Linked DNA regions of Diceros bicornis minor. The protein of the gene in region 3 purifies or fractionates together with the protein of the main gene of each other region. This does not show direct contact. Links are inferred from orthologs where the notes say so. Each region holds a gene or a part of one and is shown on either strand. Other genes may lie near its edges.

Region 1 (7,586 bases), on a different chromosome or scaffold from region 3:
TTTGGCTTGAATCACCAACCTTCTAACTAATCTATCCATACTCCTTAATGACTTAAGACAAAATAGTGATTTTTTTTTTTTTTCATTTCATTTCTTGCCTTCTGGGTTTCCTGGTTTGCAAGACTCTGAGTAGATTTAACCTCACCGTCTCTTCACTTGTAGCTCCCTGAGACAAGGGTCACACTATTTGGAGTGGTCTGAGAGGTAACTGTTTCCTCTAGGGTTCCAGCAGAGTAGGAGGGGAGCAGTGGCAGCCTGCAGTTTCTCACAGACACCTCACGTCACCACTTGGGACAGCACCCATCTACAGAAACCCTGCACCCAGGTGAAGTTTGCCTGACTGAGTAGGACTTGGTCATGCAAACCAGGATCAAGGAGAGCCTACGTGGGGCTTTAGGGTTCTTTATTGCAAGGTGTTTGGGAGAGGAAGTTGGTCTTGTCCTAACCACACAGCACAAGGGCTCAAGTGCTGAAGGGATCGTGGTCAGCAGATGTAGCTCCTCATCATGCCTTTCTTTCCTTTCCTTCCTGCTGGGCCTTAGCTAAGCTGAAGCTAATAAGTAGACTTTATGAGCCAACCCCAGCGATGAGGTGAAACGTGCTTGCAGAGTTTACTCATGGAGAAGGATATGCTAGTGGAAGGCTGGGACACTCTTAGGATGACCAATAGCTGCTAGCGAGTTCTGATTCATGGCCCCACTAAAGAGGCCATAAGTAACAAAATGGTCCCAGGAACACTATGTTCCCAAAAGGCCAAAGCCTGAAGATATTGCCCTTTATAATTGAATCAGCTTTATGTATTCACGAGTCCTCAATCAACCTGATCAGGGATATGTGGGGCCACCCACTTAGCTCCCCCCACTGCCGAGGGGCCATGGGTGCCTGTATGCTCAGCCTAGCCATGGAAGCAAGCACTGCCAGCCACAGACCCTGGGAAAGATGGAAGCAAACTGGAAGATGGTATAGTCTCAAAGTGAGGACACCAGTAGAAATTTGGAAGCTGCAGAGAGACCAATACAGTTGAAAACTAAACCTGTGTATACTGGGTCCTCCCAGTTTGATATTTTGGCTAGTTTTCTTAATGATTATGCCATGGAGCATTTTCTATGACAAGAGTGGTCATGGAAGTAAGTGAGCAGCTGGTTCCTTGATTCAGCTCTTTCATTTCTTAAAGCAGTGGTGCTCAACGTGTGTTTCCAGCAGTATCAGCAGCATCTGGGAACTTGTTAAAAGTGAAATTCTGAGGCCCCATCCCAGACCCACTGAATCAGAAGCTGGGGAGAGGGCCCGGCAATGAGTGTTGTAACGAAACCCCTTGGTTATTCTGATGCACACTACAGTCTGAAATTCACTTTTAGAGGGAAAGCCAAGTATCAGAGGCCCCACACTGAGGAGCTTTGGGACCTAGAATAAGAAGGTCCTATTTATAATGCAGACATCAACATTAATTCCAAAGTTACCTTTCTCATGCTTCTTTATGTTTCTGGTTCTCCTTTTATTTAACACAGAAAGAAAAGGTATGTGTGCCTTTGGGCTGAGGTTAGCAGGATGTTTGCATCTCTCCTAGTTGAACACAACCTTCAGAGAAAAATCCCATGGCTCTGAAGTGTCTGGCTGGCACACTAAGGGGCTCCCACAGAAGACGGCAGCTGGAAGTCTCTTCCAGATCGCTCTTCTCTGGATTACTTGTGTCTACTGTGAGCCTTTTCCGATTATGTAACAGGATGAGAAAAGTCAAAACACCTCCTTTGTATTTCCATGACAACTTGTCTTAGGAACATCCCCCTCCCTACTCCAGTTTTGGGCTCTGCAGGTCTGAGAACCTGGCCAGAACCTCCTTCCCAATGCGGCAGACAGCCGTGATGCTGTCTCCCACGAAGGCCCCTCTCCATGCTCTGCTTGGCTCACAGGACAGAGTTCAGCTCGATGAAGGCACAGTCCTGGGGCACCTCAGTCCTTGGGCTCCCCTTTTCCTTTCCCCACACCAGGACTCGGATACACAACTCCCCAGCCATGGCCAGAGAATAAAACCCTTTAAAAATCTGAAAGGAGCTTTGGATCTTTCCAAACTCACTGACTCCAGCTGATGGGGCCATGGGGGAGATGAGGCTGTTGACAGCTGGTTTTGTTTCAAACTTGTCTGTTTTCCCTGGGAGAGAGCTTGTGGGTGGAAGACAAGCATGCCAGTCCTCCTGAGCTCTGGAACTAAGCCACAGAGGAAGGAGAGTCTAAAACAATTGCACTAAAATCACCCCTCACCCCCAGAAGGCAGGCGATGGGTCCTTTGGTCATCTCCTGTGGGATCTTCCTGCTTCCCTGCCATTTCTCTGAGACTGGAGATGTCTGATTATAAGGCAAGAGCCCCATACCCAGCTGGTCTCTGTGCTGCTGCTGTGCAGAAGCCTCCCACTTCCTGCTGTGTTTGTGTTTTTGTTTTTGTTTTAACAGAATAATCTTTTTTACAATAAATTCCCACCCCTGCTAGATTCCTTTCCTTCTCCCCTCCCCATCCGGTTTTAGGCAGCACTGTTTATGTGATGGAGTCTTTCTTTCTCAAATGCATGGCGAACCTCAGGTGGAAGGTGGGCAGGAATTTTTGCAACACTTTTTTTTTTAATTTATTGAACACAAAACCCAAAACCAGGATATGTGTGTGTCTGTGTGTTTATGTTTTTTCTCATCTGACCCTCCCCTCTTCCAATCGACCCCCTTTTATATCCAATGTAGAGAAGCAAAACAACCTGGAAAGCAACCTGTTGTATATAGCTGCGGTAACAATCAGGAAGAGAGCGGGACTGTCCCCTCAGTAATTCATTTTAAATCACAAATTGGTTGAAAATGGAATCCATGCTGGGGCCAGCTGAAAAGGCCATCCCCTCATCTGGGCCCTCTGTCCATTAGGCATGTCTCCTCCCAGCAAGAGTCATCTGTTCGATGCCATTTGTGTTTCAATAAAGTTATCTCCTGTACTGTCCACTGGTTCTCTCTAGCTCCCTCTCTGTCTGGTTCTGTCTCCACTTCCTGTGGCCCCTTCCTCAAACTGGAAGGTGAGACCGCTCGTGGTTGTTTGCCTAACCTTAGAGGTAAGACCCACCTGCCCGGAAATGTCTCATCCTCAAATCCTAAGCAGGAGTCTCTTGACCAACCTTTGGGAGTTGGGGGGAACTGCTTGCACACTGTGGACATAGCATCCATCACCAAAACTCGAAATGTCCAGCCCCAAAGTTGGGTTCTTGAGTCCTCCATCCACTGCCACAATGTTTGAAAACATACCACCCACTGGACTTCCCTAAGCTTTCTTTTGGGAATAAAAGTGAATTAACCTAATTCTAATTAACCTATTCTAATGGAGTTCACCTTCCCTTGGCCACTGAGAGAAGGAAAATGAGAAGTCTTCCTATTCCCTGCTATGGAACTGAAGAAAGAAGCAACCTTTTCCCTGTGAAATAGTTGTGGTAACACAACCGACCTCTGCTCCCTAACACGGGAGGTGACAAATGTGTTTAGAGTTCACCTCAAAATAAATCGAGGAGTCTTTCTTTTGGAAGAATCCTCAGATTGGTGACCTAAACCCTGATTGTTATCAATTTAGCATCCACCATCTTACAACTGAGCCAAGAATTGCTAACTGGTTTCCTTTGCCACTTAGGATTGAGACGGTTCCTAGAAACCATTTTAAGGCACTCAACCTGAACAGCTTTCTAAGAAATACCTGTTCCTCTTTGTTCTAGAACCTCCCACTCCAAGAACATAGCTATTCCAACCCTCTGCCACCACCCTGTCCTGCTTTTCAACCCCTCGGATAACTCCCTCCACTTGCTCCAGTATTGAGGGGCATCTCTATACCTGAGCCATTTCCCACGACCAGCCTGGGACATCCATATTAAACAACTCTCGTCCCTCCACCCCTTAAATGTCCAGCCATAATTTCTCTGGGGAAAAAAAAATTTATACTTTCTCAGCTAATAGGATTCATTCTCAAATAGTCATAGAAGTGTTGACAGTGGAGGAAATGCCCTTACGCACGGAGCTGCTCTCTCCTGGCCGGCCAAGTTCCAGTTTTGGGGTTGGGCTCACCTAGGCTGGAAAACCAAGACATTGGCTTTGGAAGGTGACCACACCTCAGTGCCCGTCCACTTCAGTTTCTTTTCCCCCTCCCTTTGGAATCCTGAGGCTAAGAGAGGAAGAGACTCACCTGGGCCAACATTTTTTCAGTGTTTAGGGAAAAAAAGTTTGGTTTAAAATAGGAGCTATTAAAGCCCTCTACATCCATCCCCATCCCACCTCCTCTCTCCCAACACCCGAAAGATCTGTGGATCTGAAGTCACATGTCACGGCCTTGCTTCCAAGTCCTCTTTAGGAAAGCCGCTTGTCCCGTACGGGGCTCGGTTTTCACGTCAATCCTACGTGATTCCGGGGGACAAGGGTGCAGTTCTCGTCCAGGCGGCAGGAGGCGCTGTCTGCGGAGGCCTGGACCCCCTCCCCGACCCGCTCGCCCCCGGCCCACCCCGTACGCAGGCGCCGCTTCGCGGATTGGCCGCGCGCGGGAGCCGTCCTCGGCGGCGGGTCCCGGCGGGGTGGCGGGCTGAGGAGGAAAGATGGCGGCCGCGGCTGCGGCGGGCGCGGCGTCGGGGCTACCGGGCCCGGTAGCGCAGGGCCTGAAGGAGGCGCTGGTGGAGACGCTCACCGGGATCCTGTCGCCCGTGCAGGAGGTGCGGGCGGCGGCCGAGGAGCAGATCAAGGTGCTGGAGGTGACGGAGGGTGAGTGAGGGCGGCCACATGAGGAGGGCCCGGCGCAGCGCGGGAGAGGGCGGACGGGAGGGAGGCGCCGGGGAGGGGTCTGGTGGAGCCGGGACCCGCGGGCGGGCGGTCCGCCTGCCGAGTGTGACCGAGTCGGGACCCGGTCCTCCTCTCCGCACCGCGGGGTCCCGGCCGGGCGCGGGGAGCGGAGGAGCAGGGCCTGAGAGGCGCTTCCCGAGCGTGGTCCTGCTCTCCAGGGCCCGCCTCCGATTTCGGAGCCTGGCCGGTGGCGGTTCCTCCCCGTGTCTTCCCAGAAATCGAATAAACGCGCATGCAGCCGCTTCCCTTCCTGACCGTACTTCTCTCCGTCCGTTTTCACAGTAACTCGCATTTCTTAAATGCCTCCGTGTGCGTTTCCGTTGGGAGGAACCGACTATCCTTTGTCTCTGATTCTTTGTCCCCATCCTCCTGTGATATGTCTTAAAGTGATGGAGGAGAAAAGAAACTCCGGGTTCGGGGTGCTCCGTCACTTTCCTGCTGAGTGGGCCTTTCACCAGGGTCGGGGTGGCCGCTCCACAAAGAACAGTGTGATCCTGAAGCAGGAGGAGGGAGAAGCCTCTTGGCCTTTTTGGAAGAATGTGCTGGTCTCTCAGGGCTCCACTGGGAGGACTCAAGATCCTCAGAATCCCCCAGCTCCGCAGGACGTCTCCACCGCCTCTTAAAGGCTCTTCTGAGACGCGGGAAGTTGTCCCAGGTCTGACAGTCACACTCCTGCTGGACTTAAGAGTTTTACGAAAAGAATTTAAGACAAGTATTCCTTAAATTTAACTTTATATTCTCACAGTGTGAGCTGTTGAAAACGAATTTCCCTCTGTTGGAAATGCATTGAGATTTGCGATCTCACAGGTTAAGGACCATTTTGAAGGCCTAGTTGTACTTGTCATTGTTCTGTAAAATGTGAGACCCTACAAGAGGAGCAACCACCAGGTAGGAGAAAACTGTTTGAGAGCCGTGTGTAGATTGACCTGAAGGAGTTATCACAGCCTCCCAAGGGAAATCCTTGATTCACATTCATGTCTCTGCCTCCCTTGGGCAGCAAGGAGGAAGAGTGACAAAGGAACCTCATCACATTCAGGTTACTACTTGAATGAAGGTGAGGGTCCGTTGCCTTCCCTGAATGATACCCAACGTTCCTGGTGCCCCAAATACATGTCCAGCGCCTTCCTATGAAAGGTGAACCCTGGCTCTTGTTTAAACTGTCCAGCAACAGCACCACTTGGGCTCTGATCCCTTCCACTCTAGCCAGTGCCGTGGTCTCATCTAGGCAAAGTCACTTAGAAACTTCTTGAAGTCTTTTTGAAGTTCTAGTCTCTCACTTCATCTTTTTTGCGTCTTGAAATAAAAAATTAAGCAGAAATGCACAATTTTGCCTTAGACCTAGGCCACTTATGGGAGTGGATTGAAACACACACACACACACACACACACACCCATAATTTACTGGTGTTGTGCTGTTGGGCATGCTGTGAGACCTATAGCAAGGCTTTGTTACAGTGACCTATATCAGTGGTCTAGGAGGAAGGCATATGACCCACAGGTTCACAGGTTTAGGATGTGGTGGACAGGGTTGGATCAAGTCTCCAGTGGAATGTGGTGCTTTGGACCGTTTGGAGGCTGTTTCTGTTTTTAAATAGCCTGACTCCTTATGTTTATTTAAGAACTATAGAAACTCACCCCCTTCGTTAACTTATTTTTAGATGGAGGATGGAGACCTGTTTCTCAGATACAGTACCTTGCTTCTCTTCTTGTGGCCTTGAACAAGTTATTTTTTGCCGGGGGTCCAGAGTACCTCCTGTTTTATAATCTGTCTGAATCTCAGGTGTTAAATTAACATGGTCAGTAGTTTCTTCTCCACTCGCTATTGCCCTTCTTTACATGAAAATATATAGCTCCTGGCTTCCCGGCCAGGATTTAGCCATCTGACCTGATGAAACTGGCAGGACGCTGCTCCTGCTATTAGAACACCCTGCAGACCAAGGTGAGGAACCATTCTTGCAAATGAATGAACAGATAGTTTTCCACTCCTTTGGAATTGCTTCACATTTTAGTTTTACTCTAGTGGAAGAAACTTTGCTTTCTGGTCCTAGGAAACATGCTTCCTTAAAACTTGAAGTTAATGAGAAATCTGGGGGTTGGTGTCTGTTATTATTTGTATTCTGGTAATCTTTTGATCCTGTCTTGGTTCTCTGGGGCCCAAGGTCAGCTGACAACCAAATCCAGTTGTTTCTAGATCCTCTGTCCCCTCAAATAACCACACTGTCTTTGTGAGCCATTTATTATTGTTTCACATGGGAGACTGGTCCCAACTGATCCTTAAGACTAACCAGTATGTTCCCTTTGGCAAACTAGTGTGCCACCTTCCTTCCCTAGTCTTGAGGATTAAGTGAAAGAAGCTCTAATTTAATTTTGGGGGAAAGGGCAGAGTAAATTTTCAACTCCCTGTTAAATGGACAGATGAGAGGTTGACATGCTCTGACCAGATTCTGGGGTAGAGGAGACTTTGAGAAGCAGTTATCTTAGAAAATTGGGGTTGCTGGAGGCCAAGGTACATCCTAGTCCTTTAGTCTGCCAGCAGATATTTTCCAAGAAATAACTTGCCTATAGTTAGTTATCATGTTTTCCACAATGGGAGCCTATTCTCTTAAGCCAAGGAAGTGTATATATTTGAGAGATTCACCTGACTCATAGTGGGTCAATTTTGAAAGGATCAGGATAGGTTGTTTCATCACTTCATGTCCTGGAATGATTTTCTCGAGTCCCTGTGTTTGCCATTTTCTTTAGTCACT
Region 2 (7,953 bases), on a different chromosome or scaffold from region 3:
AGTGGTGTAGGTCCATGCCCAGGAACCGATCCTGGGCCACTGAAGCAAGCGTGCTGAACTTAACCACTAGGCCATGGGGCTGGGGCTGGCCCCCAGAATTGTCTTACCTTTTGAAGAATATATAGAGGAGGTTTTTCATCCAGGTTGGGCTTAGACTAAATTGTATTTCATTTGTAATTAGTGGATATTTCCTATCTCTTAGAGAAGGGTCAGCAGCCTCTCTATTTGCTAATTTATAATTGGCAGACGGTTCCAATACTATATGGGGAAAAATAAAGAAGTTTCTTGGAGGACAGGGACTCTAATAATAATAGGCTTTTCATAAATTGAGATCTCTCCCAATACACCATCTGTTTTGGCTGAAAAAACCAGGTTCAAGTTTAAGAAAAGTGAAGTTGGGCTAATCTTTGTTTTCAGCTTGGTTATTGGGAAGGAATTCCTGTCCTTCTGTGTTTTGTGTCAGGTTCTGCCACTTGGTCTGAATATGAATAGCTCTTAGTTTTTTCTCTAACCTTCTATGATATACGTTGAATTCTGTTGATCTTGCTAACATAGCTTCTCTCTGAGATTTGGAGGCCTGATGTACAATATCCCTTCCACCAAAACGCCCCTGCTGATGTACACTCACTCCCATCCTACAACATGTCCTCATATCCCCATGCCATAATGGGAGTCCTTGCATTCCCAGGTGATCCTAAGCCAGCGATTTGAGTCTGGTCTCTCCAACGGCTATCACATCATACAGCTGGGCAAATATCCACTCTCACTATGCAGCAAGACTAGAACCAGGATCTAACAAACATTTAAGTGATAGGTAGGTTCCAAAACTGGCCAAAAAAATGGCAGAACGATGGCAAAGTGAGAGCATGGGCTTTGAGAGAGGAAGAGAAATCATTTCAAGTATTGACTGCTATTATTTTTAAAATAATTTTTTTAACTATTTTTTTATCCCTTCAGTAGTGCCCCAGTTTCAAATGAGGAAAATAATTTCTCTCAGGATTATTAGAATTACGTGAAAATCTCTATATAACATTATGATGGGGATTTGTTCATGATTCTTACAAACGCTTTATCAGGAATAAATAAATGAATTTGAGAAACATTAATTTGTTATGCAGTATAGTAAATGAATACAGGCAAGCCAGGAAAGGTTATATAAATCAGTTTAGCTGTTTTCATCATTGTACTATTTATTCTAATAAAATGGAAACAGTTGACATTGGTAGTAATTGGATATTGGGCAAATGAGCTATAGTATATACAGAGTGACTGTTAACACTGTTCTGTGTGTTCAGGATATAGCTATGAGAAAAATTCCTTATCTGCTAGGAGTTTAAAACCTAGTAGGGGAGAAATGAGTTTCTATTAAAATATACTCAGTGAAACAACCCAAAACATAAGGTCACTTCTCAGAATCATTTCAGTTTTGTCTAGGCCTAAAGACCAGTGGGAGTAGAAGTTAATAATAAAAAGGAAAGGATGAATAAAGAAGATAGCTAGCTCATAATACAAAATTTACAAGTGATAGCTTCCAATGCTGTGAACTACAGAATCTCATAGGGTTTTTAGGGATTAAATTTAATGATCTATAGAAATTGCTTAATTATAAGTACTAAATAATAATAATTTCCTTCCTCAAAACCTGTTAACTCTTAATATGGCTGGAAGGATTTCAAGAACCCCTATTATTGTTCCATGCCATTTGATATTCTTTCCAATTTATATATAGTATCTCTTAGAGAAATGTTCAATAATTATTTATTTGAATGCAGGTAGATTCTGTAAGTTATAATCAGAATAACTTATTATAACCCATTCTACTACTAGTAATTCCCACTTAAAGAATGAATTTTGTACCAAAAATGTGTGAGGAACTCTAGGTTTGGTGATTTGTAACTCCAAACTGAATTTCAGCACAGAAACAATGTTATTTTAGAATCTCAAACTATGCAAAAGAAGTTACTTCATCCCATAGTGAGGCTGATACTATTTCAAGGTAAAATTAAGAAGTTTTTTTTTATTTATTTATTTATTTCCCCCCCAAAGCCCCAGTAGATAGTTGTATGTCATAGTTGCACATCCTTCTAGTTGCTGTATGTGGGACACAGCCTCAGCATAGCCGGGGAAGCTGTGCGTCAGTGCGCACCAGGGATCCGAGGGATCCGAACCCGGGCCGCCAGCAGCGGAGCGCGCGCACTTAACCGCTAAGCCAGGGGGCTGGCCCAAAATTAAGAAGTTTTGAATGCGCATTTCTTCTTGTCTCTTATTCTCTCTCTGCTGTCAAGCCTGGTAAAGTTTCCAGGAACTCAATCACATAAATGTGGGACTAATGTATTCTTGTTCCCTCAAATGTTGTTTTACTTCAAAGAAATAACCGTAAAATGGGGTAAACAATTGAGATCAAGTCTAAAGGGGGATGTGGATTTTCCCATATCTCCTCAAATCCTACCAATTTTCTATTCTAAAGTTTCGTTTTAGTTAGGCCCAGCTCTTTTGCATGTCCCTTCCTTCAAAGCTTGGCTGTGAAGGCTGTCCCCACACATCAAATAGCCTCCAAGAAAGGGATGGGTTTTGAGTCCCAGCCAGTCCACTCTCCTGTGCTGGGAATTTTGAGTCCGGTGGGCTGAAAAGGGAAGATGGGATGTGGCTACAGTTCCATCTCCTATATATGAGCCCATTTAAAGATTTAGGTACAGATCTTCCCTGTGAGTTAGCTTATTAAAAATTACCTTACTCCGCTTGCCAAATACCTAGCTAAGAATTGTGAAAGACAAACAATTGTATTTAAGAAGGATGAGGTGCTTCCAGAAGAAGAGTATGCATACCTGGAGAGTCCAGGGGGGAGTCAGTGGTGTAAGGGGGCATGAAGCTAGGACAGGGAAGCACAAGAGCAAGTGGATTCATTCTGTCTATCATATTCTGCAACTTTTTATAGTCTTGGTGGTTACGGACAGGAGCGCCACTGAAAGCCGTCATTTGCTCTGTAAACCTAGGTCTGATACAACATGGTTCCTTGCAAATTCCAAGGTACTGTAAATTTCGTTTTACAATTTGACTTATATGATTTATACAGTGGTTTGAATTGTGCAGTTTGTTGGTGGAGATGGTATAAAAGTCTTGGAGTTAATTTATCTGTGTCTGATAGCTGGATGATGTTAGATGCTTTCTATCTAAGCAATCATTATGAGCTATAATATATACATTAGTCCTTTTATCAGACGCGCCACCCTGTTGAGGTTAATATTCATTCTGTTTGCAGATGAGAAAACTGAAGCTTAGAAAGAGGATCAGTAACTCCCCCAAGGCTACACAGCTAGTAAGTGACAGATTTGAAATTGTCTATTTGACTCTAAAGCTATTTATAAGCTTTAAGATCAACTGGCTCAAACAGAACATTAAGCCTATGTTTTTTCACAGTGGCAGATTTTTCTCCCTAATCATTCAGTTACTTGTCTCAGCTCTTACAGAAAAGTTGGGTTATAGTCCTGGCTTTGACTGCCCAGCTCAGTGTCCGCCAACATGCCACTTGGATTCTCTGGATCGCTGTCTTGTCCGTTGAATGAGAGGGCTAGACCGCGTGATCACCAAGACCTTCCTAATGGTCAACTCCTACAATCTCTATTCGTATTTTGTGGATTCCATCTTTGAGCCTAACTCACTTTCCTAAATATGATGCCTTCTATTTGGAGCAAATATATATATACTTTTATTACTGATAACAGACTGCTTACCTCTAATGTGAGCTGACTGCGTAGGTAATAATTGTAGCCATTTATTGTCTACCAGAAAACATACTAAGTGCTCTACGTAGATGATCACAACAGTTCTATAAGGTGGATTTTAAAGTTTCACGTTATAGAGGAGGAAGCCAAGGCTCAGGTTTTGACTTATCCAAGGTCAAGCCAGAGAGCAGCAGAGCTGGAATTCCAGCCTTTGTGTATTTGACGACAAAGCTCTTATATGTTTAATGGAACATTAATGAAACTGTATATATTTTCTAATTCTGCTTTAGGCTTAAAGATCATGGACATTATTTTTTCAACCAGTTTTTTTTCTTTTTATGTTATTAGCTCCCGTCTTTGATTTTATTATCTGCTTATTTTCTGCTCCCTTTATCAAATGATGGGGAGAAGTAGAGTGGGAACGTTACTGTTTTGATGTTAAATGCCTCTTTCAAAGTTTAAGTTTACAGCCAAGAGCGGCAAAGTGAACAGACTCTCTGGCTTTGTGACTTCGCGGCGATCCGCGCATCTCCTTCCTCGTCCTCCTGAGAATTCGCGTTCTTCCGCTGAACTACGTTTCCCAGCGGGCTGCGCGGCCAAGAGCGCGGGCTCGACAAGCCCTTCCTTCCTCTTCGCCTATCACGCGGTCGCAGCGTGATGACGCAAACTGGTCCGGCGCTGACGAGTGACGGCATTCTGGCTCGCGACCGCGGCGGCGGCCTTAGCAGCGGCAATAGGCGCAGCAGCAGCGGCGACTGCAGGGACGACGACGGCGGCGGGGCGGGCGCTGCGCGCAAAGGGGAGGGGTAGGCGGGCGGCGCCGGCGGCTTCAACTGCGGCAGCTACGACTAGGGCGACGGAAGAAGAATCCCCATCAGCCGGCCGTCGAGTTAGGCCTAAGCGCCCGGAGCCGCTTCGCTGTCCTCTGCGGGGGATCTCCATAGAGACAGTGACATACACAGAGGCGGGGGTCCGCGGGAGGCTGCCGGACCGGAGCCAGCTCCTCGGCCTCTGTCGCCGCCACCGCCTGCCCCGCTGCCAGCGCGCGTCCTCTCGCCACTCCAGCTCGCAGCCTCGCCGTTCCTGGTGTGCCTGTGCCCCGCTGTGTGGGCAGTGCGGGCGGACTGTTGGGCTGGGGCCGGGCGGGGGTGCTCTAAGGCCGCCGCCTCTGCCTCTCCCGCCCCCTTACCCGCCCGGGAGGGGGAAGCAGCGGAGGCTCCGCCATGGCCTCGGGAGCCGGAGGAATAGGAGGGGGCGGTGGCGGCAAGATCCGGACGCGGCGGTGCCACCAGGGGCCAATTAAGCCTTACCAGCAGGGGCGACAACAGCACCAGGTACGGGACCCCGACGCGGCGGTGGCCTAGCGGGTCGGGAACTCGGCGGGAGGGAACAGGCAGCGAGGGGCCCTGGCGCCCCACGTGGAGCGGACGGGAGGGCCTGCGGAAAGGCCCGAGCGAGGCGGCGGGAGCGCAGGCGGGCGGGGTGGCGACGGGAAGTGGGCTGACACAGGCCCATCTTTGCGGCACCCACGTGTGGTTCGGGCCGCCTCTCGCCAGCCCTCCAGGCCAGGGGCTTCCCCTGGACGGGCGCAGGGCGGGAACAGCAACTCTAGGCCCACGATGCCCGCGTTTCTTTCGCTTTTGGCGGGGATTGGGGGGTTGAGGGTATTACTCACGTCCTCCCGAGGGAGAAAGGAAAAGATGTGGCTGGAGGCCTCTGCGCTTGCTGTTTTCTAGTCTCCCGCGTTTCAGTGCGTGTGGGGAGGGGGCTGCCCGGAGGGATCGGCCTCCGGGGGTTGGCGGGGGCGCTGTTACACAGAAAGTGGAATAACTTAGTCTCAACCTATTAATTAATTCTCCATCTCCTCTGCTCTTGTTCCTCCCCGATCTGAGAGCATTGGCTTAGATTTTTTTTTTCGTAACCGGGTTAGACTTACCGTGGCAGTGGGGCATTTTGAAAGTCCCTCTCCACCCTTACGTCTTTTCTCTGCTGCGAGACTCTTCCTTCTCCACTTTCTATCCCTCCCCTTCCCTTTATTTTGGAGGGTAGACTTGGCCGTTATGCACAGTTGACCGGGACTCCAGTTCTGGTCTCATGCACAAAATATTTTAATATTATGGGGCGTATTCTGGAAGTTTAGGTACTTTTGACATTCCAGGCATGTTGGTGGTCTTAGAATTTAACCACCTTGTGCACTCATGGGTGTTTGAAATTATGAAAAGGAGTTTATCCTAATTGTAAATGAGACATTTGAGTCTGAGGAAATTTCGTTTTTTAAACGTTACGTGTTTATTATGGGGATTGAGTAGGAAAATGTTAAAAACTTATTTTGATAAAAGTCACTAATAAAACTTCTCTGTGATGCTGAGGTGGGAAGTAAGTGTATATCTTAAACTTGTTAAAAAACAGAAGTACCGTACAGCAAAAGGGTCTGATAACTTGTTGCATACTGTTAAAGGTAGACTTCCTAGGTTGCCTTATTCTGGATGATGATGAATATTGGACACTTTAACATGTTTGGTAGTGGTGTTAAATTGTATCATTAAAAAACAACAGAATTTTAAAAGTAATGATTTGAGGGAAATTTTTTGATAGTAAAAATTGTGGTTTATAATATTAAGTAGTCCTCTACTAATGGTTAGAAGTCTTGGCATTACTATTATCTCTCACCAGTTTCCCCCCAGGTAAATATATGCAGAAAGTACTTGGTTTTCAGATTTCTTTGTGAGAAACAGGGGTATATACTTGCAGGCAGATTTAAGATTAGAATTCAGGTCACAAGCCTGGCCATTTAACCTAATCCTTTTGTAGAATGGAAGTTAGACACACATGCTTTCTGTTTCTCCTGAAGAATAAATGTCTGAGTGCTGTCTTAGGTCTCCCTAAGGGAAAGTTACTACATAAAAAATGAAATGTTTTAAATACAGATCATTGGATGGTCTGGACAGAGTTTAGAAAGGAGCTAATATATTCCAGGTGGCAGAAGTTATAATCACAGCTTACTTTTAAAGGTATTTAGATAAAAATCTAATTTGGGGGAGATGATGCCTTAACAACATAACACCTATGATCCAAATTGTCTTAGAGCTGATATAATTTCAGTGTAGTTTTGTTTTAGAGCTTGATAATTTTATCATTTCCCCTTATCAGAAATGCTTTCAGCTTCTTACCTCAGCCATTTAATTGAAAAAGGAAATACATTTTTAGCTTTTGGGTTGAGATTAAAGATGTTTGGGAGTTTCTTGATCAACACTGTAGGTGTTACTTAACATTGGCAGAAACTACCAAAGAAAAGTATGTGTCCAGGAGTATACAAAAGAATACTCTTTAATTTATCGATTTTGTTCATCTTAAAATAAGGACTTTCTTTAGTCTTTACTGGAACTTTTGTGGATTTGTAGACTACCTGCTTGCTGTACTATCCTGGGCTGTCACCTCTCTATGTTTTGCAGCAGCTGCTGAGTCATCATGAATATCAAGGAGCTTCATGACATGGCATGTTTTATACTAATGTTATTTGATTAAGTGTCTAAGAGTTTCTGGGCAAAAATGAAGTTTTGGGATATGTGGTAGAGAGTTGGAATAAGAATGAGAGGTCTGGCACTATTAGTTAATGGATGTTTGCCATTGCCTGTCAGGCCAACTGGCTTGTGCAATCACGCAGTCACGCAGTACCTGTGACTTTTGCGTGTGTTCAACTGACTTGTAATTTCCTGTTTTGATTTCTTCTGGTTTAGCTCTGCTGAGATAGATCTAGTTTACATTTTTTCCTTTTAACTTCTGATCTTTAAAATGGCATCTTGCTCGAAGTGGTGGAAACTTAAATCCATTGTCTTAACTAACTGAAGGGAAGCAACTTAAGAATTGAAGAAGCAAAAATGAAGAACAGCCCTGAGTAGTGTAAGTTGATCATTTTCACTTGCCTTCATCCCTACCTCCTAACTCTTAGCCCAGATGCATTTAGGAAATGGTGTCATTTTTCTAGTTGGGAGTGAACAGGTCACTAAAGAGGATGTGGTTAGTTCTTGTCACCTCTTCAGTCTCCTTTCCCGTTTCCTTTTTGTGCAGATTGTCAGGCCCAAAAAGTCAGCTCTGGAGAGGTCAAGCTGCTTTTTTTAATAGCCACCACAAAAAACTTGAGCCCACGGGCAAACCAGAACCTTGCCTCTGGAAGAATCTACTGCCACCTCCTGGTGAGAGGGAACTACTTATTTTTGCCCTTTTTTGGGGG
Region 3 (7,250 bases):
AAAGAGATGAAAAAATTTTAACACTCTAGATTAAAGCCACTAGGAATGTGATATGCCAAATCCCACAGCACCCACTGAGACTGAAACATCATACCTCTAGATCATGCTCGTACTGTGCTGCCAAAGCTGGGTCCATGACAACCTCTGGTGGGGCAAGAGCAGGCATGGCGACAAACTCCAAGTTAGGGTCTCCAATGAGTTTTCTAGCAAGCCAGAGGAAGGGCTTTTCAAAGTTGTAGTTACTTTTGGCAGAAATGTCATAGTACTGTTTAAAAAAGAAGTAAAATTAATTTTAAAAACTCCATTACTCAAACAATGATCATCCTGGGGGACACTGCAAGCTAAAAGATAAAATTACTTCAATCCACATATCACAGACGTTTATCAACCACTTTAATGGACCCATATATAATTTTATCTAAGGGCCCTAATCCAGTAAATGGAAGCTGTAAGAAACATACCTGAAGATTCTTCTTTCGGTGGAAGACAATAGATTTTGCCTTAACTTTCCTGTCCTTAATGTCCACTTTGTTGCCACACAACACAATGGGGATGTTTTCACATACTCGTACCAGATCTCGATGCCAGTTAGGCACATTCTTGTAAGTAACTCTCGATGTTACATCAAACATTATAATGGCACACTGGGCTGAAGGAAAAATTTACAGAAATTAGTACACACCTAGCAACTACATGGATGAGAAATGCTAAGAACTATGGACTAGCACTCAGTCTCAGACTTAACTCTAGGTCATCCAGAGTTGCCTAATCAATTTCAAAGTCTCTTCCAATTCTAAAAATCTTAAATCACTGTAACACACAATACCGTTTATATGAAAGCATGAAAAACCAATTTACCTTATCAAATCTCTCTCCCTATAGTCCTTCATCACTAATTCTACCTAATCCCAAAAAAGTACCTAAAGTAGATTAATGATAAATCAACATTCCAGAGAACTCACCTCCCATATTCTGAGGGTCTAGAAATCTATGCTTTACAATGTCCTTAAACGGCTGAATACACCATAACATGCCTCTATTTAAGAATACTCAAGTAGGTCACTATGTTGACCTGTAGGAATAGGCACCTCTCAAAGCTAATGAAAAAACCAAGAGTATGCACAGTATAATACAGTTTAAGTAAAGAATTTTTGGGGGAAAAATCCCTGTATTTGTACATACTCAAGGAAAAGCAAATAGCATGGAAGGATTCCCAACAACTTTTCAGCGAGAGTAAGATTCCAGGTAATGAGTATTTTCTTTATTCATCTTTTCATTTGGCACAACAGTAAGCATTTTTCTTTGCAATTTTTAAATCAAGCATTCGGAAAAAAAATTCTGCAAAACTCAGCACAATTAAAAAGAAAACAGCTGGTCTTTTACAACATTTGTAAGCTAGAGAACCTAGCTCTTCTGGTCCAGTATCTGGTCAAACTGTTTACTATCTTCTCAATAGAATGGAGAAGAAATCATCATTGATGACCACCAAAACATACACCCAGAAATAAGTTTTCAAATGAGGCTGAAGCTGCAGCAACTGCTTGTCTGTTGCTTACTACTGTTTTTAAATTATGAGCCTCAATATAAAATCAAGTAGTTTTTTCAAAACAGTGCCTATTATGACACAGCATGCAACCAAACGGCACAAGACAACTTCCATAAAATTTTTTCCCCCTCCAATGATGGTCAGCTCCCTGGAGGCAATGACTTTTTAATCAACCTAAATTACACAACTCCTGGTACGGTCCGGATTAAGCATGTGTTCACTGGAACAGATCTGATCATCACTGAACACCCTAGGGGACCAAACTACAATTTCTCAAAAAGTGTTCAAGTTACAGACGAGACACGCACCTTGAATGTAATAGCCATCTCTCAGTCCACCGAATTTCTCCTGGCCCGCTGTGTCCCACACGTTGAACTTGATGGGCCCTCTGTTGGTGTGGAACACGAGGGGATGGACCTCGACGCCCAAGGTGGCTGAAACACACACCCCACATCAGTCCGGGAATTCGTCCGTTTCACCCCACTTTCGCCGACGGTTTTCCCCCACGTACCTACATACTTCTTCTCGAATTCCCCCGTCAGATGGCGTTTCACGAACGTAGTTTTCCCAGTGCCACCGTCCCCAACCAATACGAGCTGTTGGACAACACGTTTTTGAAATAAACCCCAGACCCGTAACATCTCAGGACCCCGGAGTCACGCAGCCGCGAGGCTTGCCGGACGCCCACCTCCACCGGGGGGACAGAACCTCAACACCCCGTCAGGTCCCCCCACACAAAGGACCCCGACCGAGCGGCCCCGCCATCGCTTCGGCGACTTCGGCCGCCGGAACGTGCGCCCGCGGCCACGCGGGGCCCGGCCCCGAGAGCCCCCGCGCGCCCCGCCGCGCCCCGCCGCGCCGGCCCACGCGGACACCTACTTTGAACTGGACCTGCGGCTCTCCCTGGGCGGCCATCGCGATGTTCCTGCGGAGAGAGAGCGGGGCCCGCGGGGGCCGGGACACATGGCCGGCCGCCCCACGTGCCGGCCCACAAAGGCGGCCCCCGGCCCGACCCCGCGCGGGCGGCGGGCGGGGCGCGGCGCCATGGCGGCCGGGCGGCGGCTCCCGCGGCCCATTCACCGGGCCGGCGGGGAGGCCGCGCGGGGGAGGCCCGGAGGCCGGGCCCCGAAAGCGCCTGGTCACGGCCGGCCCGCCCGGCCCCCCTCCGTCCGCGCCCGGCCCGCCGCCCCGCCGCCCGCCCGCCCGGCCCGCGCTCGGGTCCGGCCCGGCCCGCGGCCTCCACGGGGAAGAGGGCCCGCCGCCCCGGGCCCGGCCCCGCCGCCTCCCGCGGCCGCCGGCGCCCTCGCCCCGGCCCCGGCCCCGGCCCGCGGCCCCGGCCCCCGCCCCGGCCCGGCCTCCCCTCCGCTACCTTCCAGAAGCGTCTCCGGGCCCGTCTGACTGAGGGCTGGAAAGATGGCGGAAGCGCAATTCAAATGCCCGGAGACGCAGCCGACGCCGGCGCGCGCCGAGGGAGGGCGGGGCAACGGCGCGGCGCCTCTCCCACGTGGCCTGGCGCGCGCGCGCACGCACGCCGCGGCTCCGCCGGCCGCACTCGTCGGCCGGGGGCGCAGGGAGAGGCTCGCGGCGCGGCGGGAGCGGGAGGCCGTGCGGGCGCGCGCACGCCCGCCTGCCCGCGGGGCCACGTGCGCCGGCCGGGAGGCCGGGTTCCCGCGCGCGCATGCGCCGACGGCGACGCGGCGCGCCCTGCTGCCGCCCGGGTAACAGAAGCGGGAGGGGAGGGCCGCGGCCTGTTGGGCGGGAAACTCGCGGGGAGCGGCCACACAAAGCCCCGGTCGTGCCCGGCGGCCTCCTGCACAAGCACGGGCACAGCGGGCCCCGGGGGCGCCATGTTGGGGGCGCAGGCCCCTTCCCTGCCCCCTCCCCAGCCCCCGGCCTCAATCAGGACCCTCCGAGGGGAAGGGAAGCAGAGACCGATGCTTTCTCCCCCCGAAAAGCCAGCCCCCTGTCTCCTACGGCGTGTGATCGGTCAGCAGCCTCCGCGACCGTATTCTGCAGACAGGATGCTGAAATGTGGTGTTCGCAACCGTGGCGGGTCTTCTCCTGTTACAGACATGGGTGCAGTCATGAGTGTCCAGGTTCCAGACTCGGGAGGGGATAGGCCGCCAGGAGCCCGGACGAGCGCCGTGCGCGCACGCTCCTGGAGACACCCCCTCACGGGGTCAGCGTGGGCGGAAAAGGAGGACCCGCAAGCTCACGAGTATTGGTTATCGTCATCCGTTCATTCGCTTTTAGCAAAGATGTGGGCCGAATGGAGTCCTCGCACCTCGTATCCTAAATCTGAGGCCAGTGTTTGGCGTTTATATGGACAACCACAGATTCTTTAACTGACGTCTGGGTCCCCCCGGCCAAGCAAGCATCCATGACTGGCAGCAAGAGCAGGCAGCGAATGGCCCCATCAGAATAAAGTTCCTCACAAAAAGATTCCACCACGGGGACTGTTCCCAGAGCAAAGAACCCAAATGACCAAGGAGTTAGCCACGGAGTCCTGAGTGCACTTGCAAGCAGGTCTGTTGGGAACTCCAGTGACGCAAACTGGGCACAACACATCTGAGAATGTGCCTGCTGGGAACTCAAGTCCGAGTGCCCCGAAGGACCCTCAGGAAAACACCAAGCAGATCTCGATGCTGCTGGTGGGAGTGTAAATTGGTTCGGCCTCTTGAGAGAGAGAAACTAATAAAACATAAATGTCCATAGCTCACGACCCTGAATTGCCCTGTATTTCCATTTCTCGGGAGATGCCGTAGCGTTAAACTCACACATGTGCATAAGGAGACAGGTTCACAATGCTCACTGTGACATTATTTACAGTAACAAAAAGTGGAACTTACGTAAACGTCCATCAATAGGGAAATGTATAAATATGCTGTGTTTATACGATGGATTACTGTACAGCATTTAAAAAGAATGAAGTTCAGCTATGTCAACAGAGTTAGATAGATCTCAAAAGGATAATGTGGAGAAAAGAAGCAAGTTCAAGAAATATGTGGTAATACCTTTATATAGTCTACACTATATATAATTTATAGAGATTATATGTAGTATAAGACCACTTATGTAAGTTTTTTACAAACACACATAAAACCATATTAGTTCTTGGATGTATGTATGTAAATTTTTAAAAGTTGACTACAGGGATATAGACTAAATTCTGCTGGCTGTTGCTTTGAGAGAGGAGAAAGGAGTGTGATGAAATTGGGAAAAGCAGTCAAAGAAGTCTTGATCTGCAGTGTCCTCTTTCTTTTTTTAAAAAGGTAATCGTATAATTCTGGGTGATGAAAACACCAGTGTTTAGACCTTTTGGCATTTAAAAAAAATTTCTAACCACAAAAAAAGCCAAGGGGCAGTATGTCAAACCAAGAGTATTAGCTGCTCTCGCACCCATCCTTCTAAAAGGAGCTCCTGGGCCGGCCCAGTGGCTTAGCGGTTGAGTGCTCGCGTTCCGCTACTGGCGGCCCGAGTTCAGATCCTGGGCGCGCACCGACGCACCGCTTCTCCAGCCATGCTGAGGCCGAGTCCCACATACAGCAACTAGAAGGATGTGCAACTATGACATACAACTATCTACTGGGGCTTCCGGGAAAAAAAATGGGGAGGATTGGCAATAGATGTTAGCTCAGAGCCGGTCTTCCTCAGCAAAAAGAGGAGGATTAGCATGGACGTTAGCTCAGGGCTGATCTTCCTCACAAAAAAGAAAAAAAAGGAGCTCCTGGGTGGTCTGTTCTTGGCTGCTAATGTCATTAACTGGCCCAATCCCAGAACTTCTAAACATCATCATCTTATGGAGAGTGAAAAGGGGGAAAATATACTCAAGCCAGCAGAAATAATGCTTTTCCTCAATAGAACTGTCCAAGCTCGTCCATTTGTTAATGGCTTTGCAGTTTACAGAGGTACTTAACTTGTCTCGGCCACCCAACACAGATTGCAAACCCATGCTTAACCTGTAGTTTAAAAAATTACAGCTATATACACAAAGAAATATGAGAATTACAAAAAAGTTGCAAAAGTAGTACAAGGAATTTCAGCACCCTTTACTTCTAGTTTCCTCAAATGTTAACATTAATCATTCTTGATCATTCTCTCCTCTCAATAAAAACATCGTATATATATGATTTTAAAAATATGTCAATATATATGTGATTTTTTTCCTCTGAGATGTTTGAGTAAGAAGCAAACAGCACGCCCCTCAGTGTGTATTTCTTAAAACCAAGGACATTCTGTTACGTAACCACTGTACAATTACCAAAGTCAGGAAATGAACATTGTTGCAATTGTTATCTTATCTACAGAACTTAATTGCCAATTGTCTCACGCCTGTCCTTTATCTGCTGCAGGATCCATCTAGGATTACACATTACATTTAGCTGTCCTGTCTCTTTACTGTCTTTCAATGTGGAATGCTACATTCATCTTAGGCTTTCATATCCTTGACATTTTTGCAGAGTATTTTGTGGGCCAGTTATTTGTAGAATGGCCCTCCATTTGGATTTCTCTGATATTTCCTTAGGATTAGAGTCAGGTTATGCAGCGTGGGTTGGGATACCACAGAAATGACGTATGTCCTTCTCAGTGCATCTTATCAGGAGGCACAGAGCGATCTTCTTAAAACATATCAGACCAACCTTCTCCCCTCTTAAACCCTGCAACGGTTATCTATCTATCTCACTTGGATACATGAAATCCTCAGCCGGCCAGGTCCTATATGAGCTAGCTTGTGCCTACCTCTCCTGCCCCACCTCGGGCCTCTTTCCCAGTAACTCTTCTGTGGCCACACAAGCCTTTCTGAATCTTACCTTGGCCAAGTTTGTTCCCAAATCAGGGCCTTTGCACTTACTGGTCCCTCTGCCTAAAACGTTCTTTCTCCACATCTTTGCCTGAGTGGCTCCTTTTCATTCTTCAGGTCACAGCTGAATGTCACCTCCTCAGGAAGGCCCACTCAGACCACACCCCTTCTAACGTGTTATCACCACTCCAGCCCTTCCTCATCTCAGCAACCATTTTATTTTCTCCAAAGCACTTACCACTAACTGAAAATATCTTGCTTAATTATTTACACGCTTCCTTTTTTTATCTCTCTGTCCCTCATTAGAATAAACTAAGCACCTTATTTATCATGATATTTGAGGTATCGAGCACAGTGCCTCGGCCATAATGGGAGCTCAGTAAAGATTTGTTGAATTATTGAGTGAATTGCTCTTCACCCCATCTGAATACAGAAAGAATAATCAGAAACAGCAGCGATATATTCTAATAAAAATAATGATTTACATATACCAGCTTATTAGAATTTTAATAATGCTATTTCATATCAAAGACTAATCATTAAGCAAATAACTTAAACATTTACCAAATATAGGGCCAAGCTTTTCTATTTGTATGGTTTCCATCAACTTTGTTGACTTTGCAAACCAATAAGGAAGCTAATCTTAAAGATTTCATTATCTAATTCATTCATCAGTCCAGCTGACGCATGTCAGTAACTTACCAAATGAGATCTTTTCTTTATCCGACACTCAATGTTCCATATAGGGAGCACATCGATGCACAGAGTACATGCTACTTCTTAGCGTTAGCACAGAAGTTATCGTCTTAAAAGCAAATGGAGAGACTTGTCATATAGTCACACCATATAGTCACTCATCTCTTTCATCTAAAGATAAGGACAGTGCAGAGGGTGCACCTTCGT
Region 4 (7,321 bases), on a different chromosome or scaffold from region 3:
TGTTTTCTATAGAGCACTATACTAGTAGAAGTCAGCCTCTGATGACAGAGAAGAGGTTAAAGCTAGATATAAGAGAATTTGCAGTTGGATTTTGGATGCTGTTCCTGAAAATCTCTAGAAAGAGTCAGAGAGATACTGATTTGGCTTGAGTAGTTTACAGGTAATCATGCTTTGAGGCTAGGAACTAGACTAGGTAACTTCTTGAAATCACTCACAGATATATGGTTTAGATTACTCTGTGATCTATCCAATCAACTCAAAATAATGACCACATCCAAAATAATGAAACCAAAGTAAAATTAGCCAGCATCATATCTACTAAGGAAAATAGTAGGTATTCCATATCTGGTGCTTAGAAGAGGTTTCGGCCAGCCTGCAAAATCCTATGTGGAAGGAATTACAATGTGTGTTCTTCTCTACTGCACTCATTTACACAATTATTAAACTTTTTTTTTTCCTAGGCAGTGCTTATTCTGAATATAGATTTGAAGTGACTCCTGAATTAGAACTGCTGTTCCTAATGCTGAGCCTACGATTACTCAAACTGAGCATGCAAAGTCAGCAAACACCTCTCCACACCTTACATATTTGCACTTATCTTTATTTGACGTCAGAAAAATTGTTTGAAAAATGATTTATGTACGAACAGGATCTTCAGGCTCAGGATGATGAGATTTTGTGTCATCCAGCTATGTCTACTTTTACTGGCTTTAGTCAAAGAATGACTCACCAGAATCAGATCCTGGGGAATATTTTGGGAGGTGTTAGAAAAGTCTAATACCAAGCAAAGACCAGCATCTTGGTAGAACAGTTTGATTTTCTTCAGAGGTTTCTGAGATTATACAAATCAGAAAATAGTTGCTAGACTGTTGCAAAACTATTCTAAATATTTCAAGCCTTTAAAACTTGATATAGGCCTTTTAGTCACAACAAGAGCAATTCTGGTCTGTGTAGGTCACTAGAGCCATTAGCTGTACTATATATTTAGACGCATATGACCAGATTCAACTTATTAATGTGTTAAATATAGTTTTCTTTTCCTTTTGATCAACAAAATAAAAATTCACTTCTAAACTATGTTAAGACTTATCAGCTTTCAAGTATTATATTATTTTATTTTTTCCTGAGGAGGATTCACCCTGAGCTAACATCCACTGGCAATCTTCCTCTTTGTTTTTTTTTGCTTGAGGAAGATGAGCCCTGAGCTGACATCTGTGCCAGTCTTCCTCTACTTTGTGTGTGGGTCACTGCCACAGCATGGCTGATGAGTGGTATAGGTCCATGCTCAGGAACTGAACCTGGACCGCGAAAGCAGAGCACACACAACTTAACCACTAAGTTACCAGAGCTGGCTCTATTTTTATTCTTAATTTTAGTCTAAGAAATATTTTCTTAGGTGTTTTTTTCCTTCTTCAATAGCTTTCTTCTACTCTAAAACGGTTGCTATACTATTTTGGTAGATATCTGTCTTAAAGGGCAAGCATAATGTAGGCTACTGGGAGGATAGGGTGACTTTAAAATGTGTACTTGAAACATCAATGGGTATTTGTTGATGTGTGCAAGGTACTATACTATTGGCAAGGAGCTAATACATGGTAGGAGAGGTAGATTCATGAACAGAGCATTCTTTTACAATGTGGTGGGCGTAATGATGAAGATATGCAGGTAGGTGTCTCTTTCTCTGTGAATCTGTAAAACTAATTCAGCCTCAAATTGTTGGGGGAAGGTTTCCTATAAGAGTTAATGCCTGGGTTGAGTCTTCAAGGGTAAGCAGTCAGGCAAAAAGTGTGGAGCAGAGAGCCTGAGCAAAGACACAGAGGTGAATAGGGAAGTGTTCCTCTTATTCCTCTGAGCTTCTGAGCAGGTGCCTTAGTCATTGGTAGAAGGGGAGGCTGCTGCAGCTCTGTCACTGTTTTATCATAACAGAGAGTGTTTTGCAGATGTGCTGTGCAGTGGTGATCACATGAGCAGCCATTATGACTAAAATGTCAAGTTTACCAGATGTCCCCTACCACCTTTACATACAGCTCTTTCCCCATTTTACAGGCAGTCCAGTGTAACTCAAAGGATAACCACAACCCCCCTTCTATTAGTTTCCTAGGGCTGCCATAAGAGTACCATAAACTGGATAGCTTAAACAAGAGAAATTTATTGTCTCAGAGTCTAGAGCTCTGAGATCAAGGTGTCAGCAGGGTTGGTTCCCTCTGTGGACTGTGAGGGAGAATCTGCTCCAGGCCTCTCTCCTAGCTTCTGGTGGTTTGCTGGCAATCTTTGGCATACCTTGGCTTGTAGACGCAGCACCTAGATTTCTCTCTTCATGTTCATGTGGTGTTCTGCCCACCCATGTCCAAATTTCCCCTTTTTATAAGGATACTAGTCATATTGGATTAGGGGCCCACCCTACTCCAGTATGACCTCATCTCAACTAATTACATCAGAAATGACCCTATTTCCAATTCTGGTCATATTCTGAGATACCTGGGGTTAGGACTTCAACATACAAATTTTGAGGAGACAAAATTCAACTCAGAACACTCCCTTTCCAATGTAAGCTCTATAATTTAAGGTCAAATCTTAATTCCAGAAAATATTTAACAGGAACATAAATGCCTTGTGACTTGTTTTCCATGGGTTAACCTATCTTTTCCTACTTATTTACATGAAATGTGTATATTCTGTTAATTTCACCATATCATAGATTTCATAGAGTGCTTAGAACTTAGTAAAAATTTACCTACTAGGTGTCATGGTTAAGCTGCTGTTTTATTAAATGCTGATCTTTTTTGAAAGATATTTTCCAAACAGTATAATATCTTAAAATAAAACTAGCAAACTTAGTTGACACAAACAGTGTGATCAGGACTGCTTATCTTTGAGGTGTTGAACAATCCTATAAAACAAGTATTAATATATTGAACTCCTGTCCAAAAGTGGTATAAAGAATAAAAGACAAAGTGGTACAAAACCTCTTTTACTGAATACAGTTACTAAATAAATGACAGGAATAAATAAGCACTGGAAGCCAGTATTTGATATCTATGATCATTTGATAATATGGCATTCACATAGATATAGTTTTGTATTGGACTGGTGATAGCTTCCATAGGCAAAGGACTGGTGATAGTTTTTTGCATAAATCACTCTTTTATTGCTGTATTTGATTCTTATTTTAGGTACCTGATTAAAAGCACAACTTTTAGGGACCAGCCCAGTGGTGTAGTGGTTAAGTTTGCACTCTGCAGCCAGGGTTCACAGGTTCGGATCCCGGGCATGGACCGATGCACTGCTTGTCAAGCCATGCTATGGCAGTGTCCTGTATACAGTAGAGGAAGATGGGCAAAGATGGGCAAGGATGTCAGCCCAGTGCCAATCTTCCTCAGCAAAAAGAGGAGGATTGGCAATGGATGTTAGCTCAGGGCTAATCTTCCTCATACACACATACACACACACACACGCACAAAGGTACAACTTTTAGAAGAAAATTTTTTCTCTGCTTTCAAAATGGGTCCAATCTACTCCCTAGAGATTTCATTACGTCTTTTGATTCAATTTTTACTGTTCACAAGATATACACCAATATTCAACAGAGATAGTACAATTCCCTATATCACTCGCTTTTTATCCAAAGCAAACAATTTCATTCTGTACGTCGTTCAAATCTTATTCATTTACAGAATAAAGCTGGCTCTGCCAAATTTAGTAAGTGGATGCAAGCAGCTGCCTGGGAAGGACAAGGATCGAGTTCAATCAAGGATCCTGTAACCTGATACTATTACTGTTGTTCTCTCTTACAGTCCTAAATAGATTCCATAATCTCATTATTTCCTAGCCCCTCGATGTGACAGGTTTTCTTCTTGGCACTCATTACCGAAATTAATCTGTCGGACTGTTAGGTTGGCTTGGTTTTCTATTTCCTGGCTGTCAAAGCACAGCGGGAGCGGTATCCGGACAACTGTTTTGAATTTTAAAGGTTTTTTAAGCCTGCTTTCCCCATCGGTTCGCTTTCCCCTCTCCTACACTCTCGGAGCCTTTTATTTTTTCTCTTTTCCTTACTTCCTTTTACACTCACACTGTGTAGGGGGATTTAAATTCTAACCCGGAACTCAGAATCACGCGCCTTGAATGACGGGAGTTGTAGTTTCCGTTACTCCTCCGTAACCGCATTTTATGCGGATTCCTTCCCACAGTGAAAAACTACAACTCCCAGAAAGAACCCTCAGGGTGGCCGCCCCTATGCGCACGCGCCCTGACGCCGCAGGATTTGAATCGGCGGCGTTGTTATTGACGCCATATTGGGGCCGGCGGCGGGTGGAAGAGTCGTACGGTGGAAGGGGAAGCGGCTGGACGTGTTAGCTTGAGCTCCGGCCGCCGCCGCCACCACCTCGCAATCCTTCCGCATCGACCGCCGCTCTCAAGCTTCTGAGCCTACGCAGGCGGCTTAGGAGCCGTGTTCCGGCGTCATACCTCACCAAGCTGGTATCGACTTCCGAAGGGAGCCGGTCTCAGCGCAGGAGCGCCTCAGGCGCGGCGCAAAGCTCGAACGGACGGCGGGGGCGGCTGGAGCTTCTCCCGGGGGAGCCGCGCCTGAGGAGGCGGAAGAGCCCCCCTGACGCGGCGGGCGTGAGCTGCCGCCACCGCCCCTCGCGCTCTCGCCCGCGCCGGCCCGGGCCACTGCCCTGCCGCGGAGGCAGCGGCGGCGGCTCTCCTCCCCACCGGCGCTCCGCCACCCGCCCTTCTGCTCCTGAGCCCGTCGGTTAGGCTCCCCTCGCGTCCCCGCTCTCCCCCTTCCCTCGCCCTCCCCGACCCCACCCGAGCCCGGCTCTCCGCGGCCCCGGCCATGGCGTGCGGAGCCACTCTGAAAAGGACTCTGGATTTCGACCCTCTGCTGAGCCCGGCGTCCCCGAAGCGGAGGCGATGTGCGCCATTGTCGGCGCCCACCTCGGCCGCAGCCTCCCCGTCGTCGGCGGCCGCGGCCACCGCCGCCTCCTTCTCGGCCGCCGCCGCCTCGCCGCAGAAGTATCTCCGAATGGAGCCGTCCCCCTTCGGCGACGTGTCCTCCCGCCTCACCACAGGTGGGACTCGGCCCCGCGGCCGCCGGGGGGGTAGGGGCGAGGGGACGGGGGTCCCGGGGCGCAGGACGCGGCCGCAGGGGTGGGGGTGCCGGACGCGTCCTCGTTCTTAGCGGACTAGTTGGGCGACCACATTTCTTTTAATTAGCTAGTCCAGTCTGGGAGACAATAGAAATGGCTTGATATCAGTGGGGGGTTGGGGGGCGGTCGGGAGGTGGGTGGGTAGGGGCCGTGCCTTGCCGGGTATTGTGGGGAAGAGGAAGATCCTTTTCTTTGGGCCAGTGACTGGAATTGAGTGTTTCCGTAGTCTGGAGAGCTCCAGCGGAAATGATCGGAGAGGGCGATATTATTCATAAATTTAGGGGAGGGAAGGGTCACAATTACCCCGAATCTCGGTGTCTTGTCTCCCTGAATCGATGGGTTGCAGCTGTTGACTCTGGGACTGGGTGGTTCGAAGCGAGGCAGCAGCCCCTTCTCCAGTTCAGACATGGCTGATTTTAGTACAGAGGGGGTGGGGGGTGGGGATGGATGTCACCGGGGCGAGATGTAGGCCTGTCATTAATCACCCACAAGAACGCCACTTTGGCTGAGTCAAGACCTGTTTCCCTAGCAGGGTCAACAACAAAGAAAATGCTCTTCCCGTGTACTGTAATATGATCACACTATACGTCTAGACCTTGAGAAACTTGAACTTTTAATGAAAAGCAAATTGTATTGAAATTTGGGGCTAAGTAGTTGTTTTTAGTTGGAAGTGCTTTATTTCAGCCCAACAAAGTATGTCGGGAGAAAACAGCCTAGGCCTTAAGAATAATAAAGTCAACCCAAGATTCGAAGGGACTTCAGACTATTTTTGCTTTTCATTTTGAAACATTTCCTGAAAGTGACTACGGGGAAATGTCTTTTGGCTGCTTTGTACTGCATGTGTATGCCCAGTTTTTTCTGTACTTTGAAATTCCTTGTGTGCCCTTGGCACAGTCCTAAGATAGGCTTTTGTGGACTGGTAGTGTAATTCTGTTTCCTTTGTGTGTGTAGCATGCAAAGGTTTCGTGTATGTGCCTTTGGTAATAATATGACCTGTAGACAAAACTTTTTCATAGCTTGATTTAAATGTTTCATTATCGCTGGTTTAAAAAAATTTAGGCGTATATATCTCTATATTTGGTAACTTCCACTTGGAATTGACTCGTTTTGTTTTTTCAGGTCCGATTTTTAAATATCCTTCCCCAGATATGCGGGGAGACCTTCAAATGCCAAGGCTACCATTTTTGCTATTCAATATTTGATCTAACTTAAAGATATACTATTTTAGAGTTGTGGCGAGTTTTGAGGAATTCCCAGATAATTTTATTTAATGACCATACCTAAACTGTTTTCTATATGAAGACATTCATTGATTTATTGTTAGGCTTTACATTAAAAAAGAAACAATGTTACAAATGAGCTCCTGGTGGTTAACATTATTTTTAGAGTTTGTCTTTTTTAGTGAAATAGGATCATTGAAAATTGAAATGATACCATGGAATCTGTACTTAACAACTAATAAGGCCACTTAAAAATAGCTCTAGCTAACCAGCAATAAATTTCAGTCGAGGGGGTGAATTAATACAGTGTTAGGTTTGGGAGCTGAAGTATATCTCAATGCTAAAATAGTCTTGAGCATATATGGCAAACCAGCCAGGGGCTATAACATTTGTCCTTGCTGTAAAGGAAACTTATTTGGAAAGAATTGGGATCCTTTGCAAATTTGTGATTTCATTGATATATTTGGCTAAGGCAGTTGGCTCCGAATTTTCTCAAATTTCCATTAAGTGTATTATATGATAGTAAAACAACCGGAATCATTGGAGTTGCTTAAGCCTGCTGATTTCGAATTCATATTTTCCAAAATACTGCTGCATCTTCTGTTTTGGACGTTTACTCTGGAAGTTTGATCAGATCCTGAACTCGAAAATCACACCATAATTGATTTTTATTGTCTGCTAAAAGTTACTTAGCTATTTAACTAATTTGAATCTTAACGTAAAAAGTTAACTTCGAAAAGCATTTAAAATTGCTAACGTTTTGAATTGCAAAAATTTACTTTTTTTTTGCTGCTATTTTGAGTGACATTCTACATGTAATTTAATTTGGCTTTGTGTTTACATGGCCAGTTTTGGGCATGCTCCTGTATGGTTTTGTAATAACGTCATAATGGGAGCTGCAGTGTTGTGCAGGTATCAAAGAGCTTCCCAGTTTTCATGTCACCAAACTTG

The links.
Region 1: the proteins of RAN (region 3) and IPO9 purify together in Homo sapiens (affinity purification with mass spectrometry; 3 studies listed by BioGRID and IntAct, with this or other methods). This does not show direct contact. The link is inferred for Diceros bicornis minor from reciprocal best matches to the Homo sapiens genes RAN and IPO9.
Region 2: the proteins of RAN (region 3) and NUP153 purify together in Homo sapiens (affinity purification with mass spectrometry; 5 studies listed by BioGRID and IntAct, counting the BioPlex papers as one, with this or other methods). This does not show direct contact. The link is inferred for Diceros bicornis minor from reciprocal best matches to the Homo sapiens genes RAN and NUP153.
Region 4: the proteins of RAN (region 3) and AKIRIN2 purify together in Homo sapiens (affinity purification with mass spectrometry; 3 studies listed by BioGRID and IntAct, counting the BioPlex papers as one, with this or other methods). This does not show direct contact. The link is inferred for Diceros bicornis minor from reciprocal best matches to the Homo sapiens genes RAN and AKIRIN2.

What each region holds. Positions count from the first base shown.
Region 1 is NC_080777.1:30,019,382-30,026,967, forward strand, and holds the start of IPO9 (importin-9), read left to right. Parts: upstream 1-4,583; 5' UTR 4,584-4,598; coding exon 4,599-4,761; intron 4,762-7,586. UniProt on the Homo sapiens protein: Nuclear transport receptor that mediates nuclear import of proteins, such as histones, proteasome and actin. Serves as receptor for nuclear localization signals (NLS) in cargo substrates.
Region 2 is NC_080753.1:49,678,004-49,685,956, forward strand, and holds the start of NUP153 (nuclear pore complex protein Nup153), read left to right. Parts: upstream 1-4,945; coding exon 4,946-5,056; intron 5,057-7,953. UniProt on the Homo sapiens protein: Component of the nuclear pore complex (NPC), a complex required for the trafficking across the nuclear envelope. Functions as a scaffolding element in the nuclear phase of the NPC essential for normal nucleocytoplasmic transport of proteins and mRNAs.
Region 3 is NC_080774.1:2,098,571-2,105,820, forward strand, and holds the start of RAN (GTP-binding nuclear protein Ran), read right to left. Parts: upstream 3,005-7,250; 5' UTR 2,916-3,004; intron 2,472-2,915; 5' UTR 2,462-2,471; coding exon 2,426-2,461; intron 2,143-2,425; coding exon 2,058-2,142; intron 1,981-2,057; coding exon 1,855-1,980; intron 650-1,854; coding exon 462-649; intron 266-461; coding exon 95-265; intron 1-94. UniProt on the Homo sapiens protein: GTPase involved in nucleocytoplasmic transport, participating both to the import and the export from the nucleus of proteins and RNAs. Switches between a cytoplasmic GDP- and a nuclear GTP-bound state by nucleotide exchange and GTP hydrolysis.
Region 4 is NC_080762.1:44,900,865-44,908,185, forward strand, and holds the start of AKIRIN2 (akirin-2), read left to right. Parts: upstream 1-4,320; 5' UTR 4,321-4,837; coding exon 4,838-5,072; intron 5,073-7,321. UniProt on the Homo sapiens protein: Molecular adapter that acts as a bridge between a variety of multiprotein complexes, and which is involved in embryonic development, immunity, myogenesis and brain development.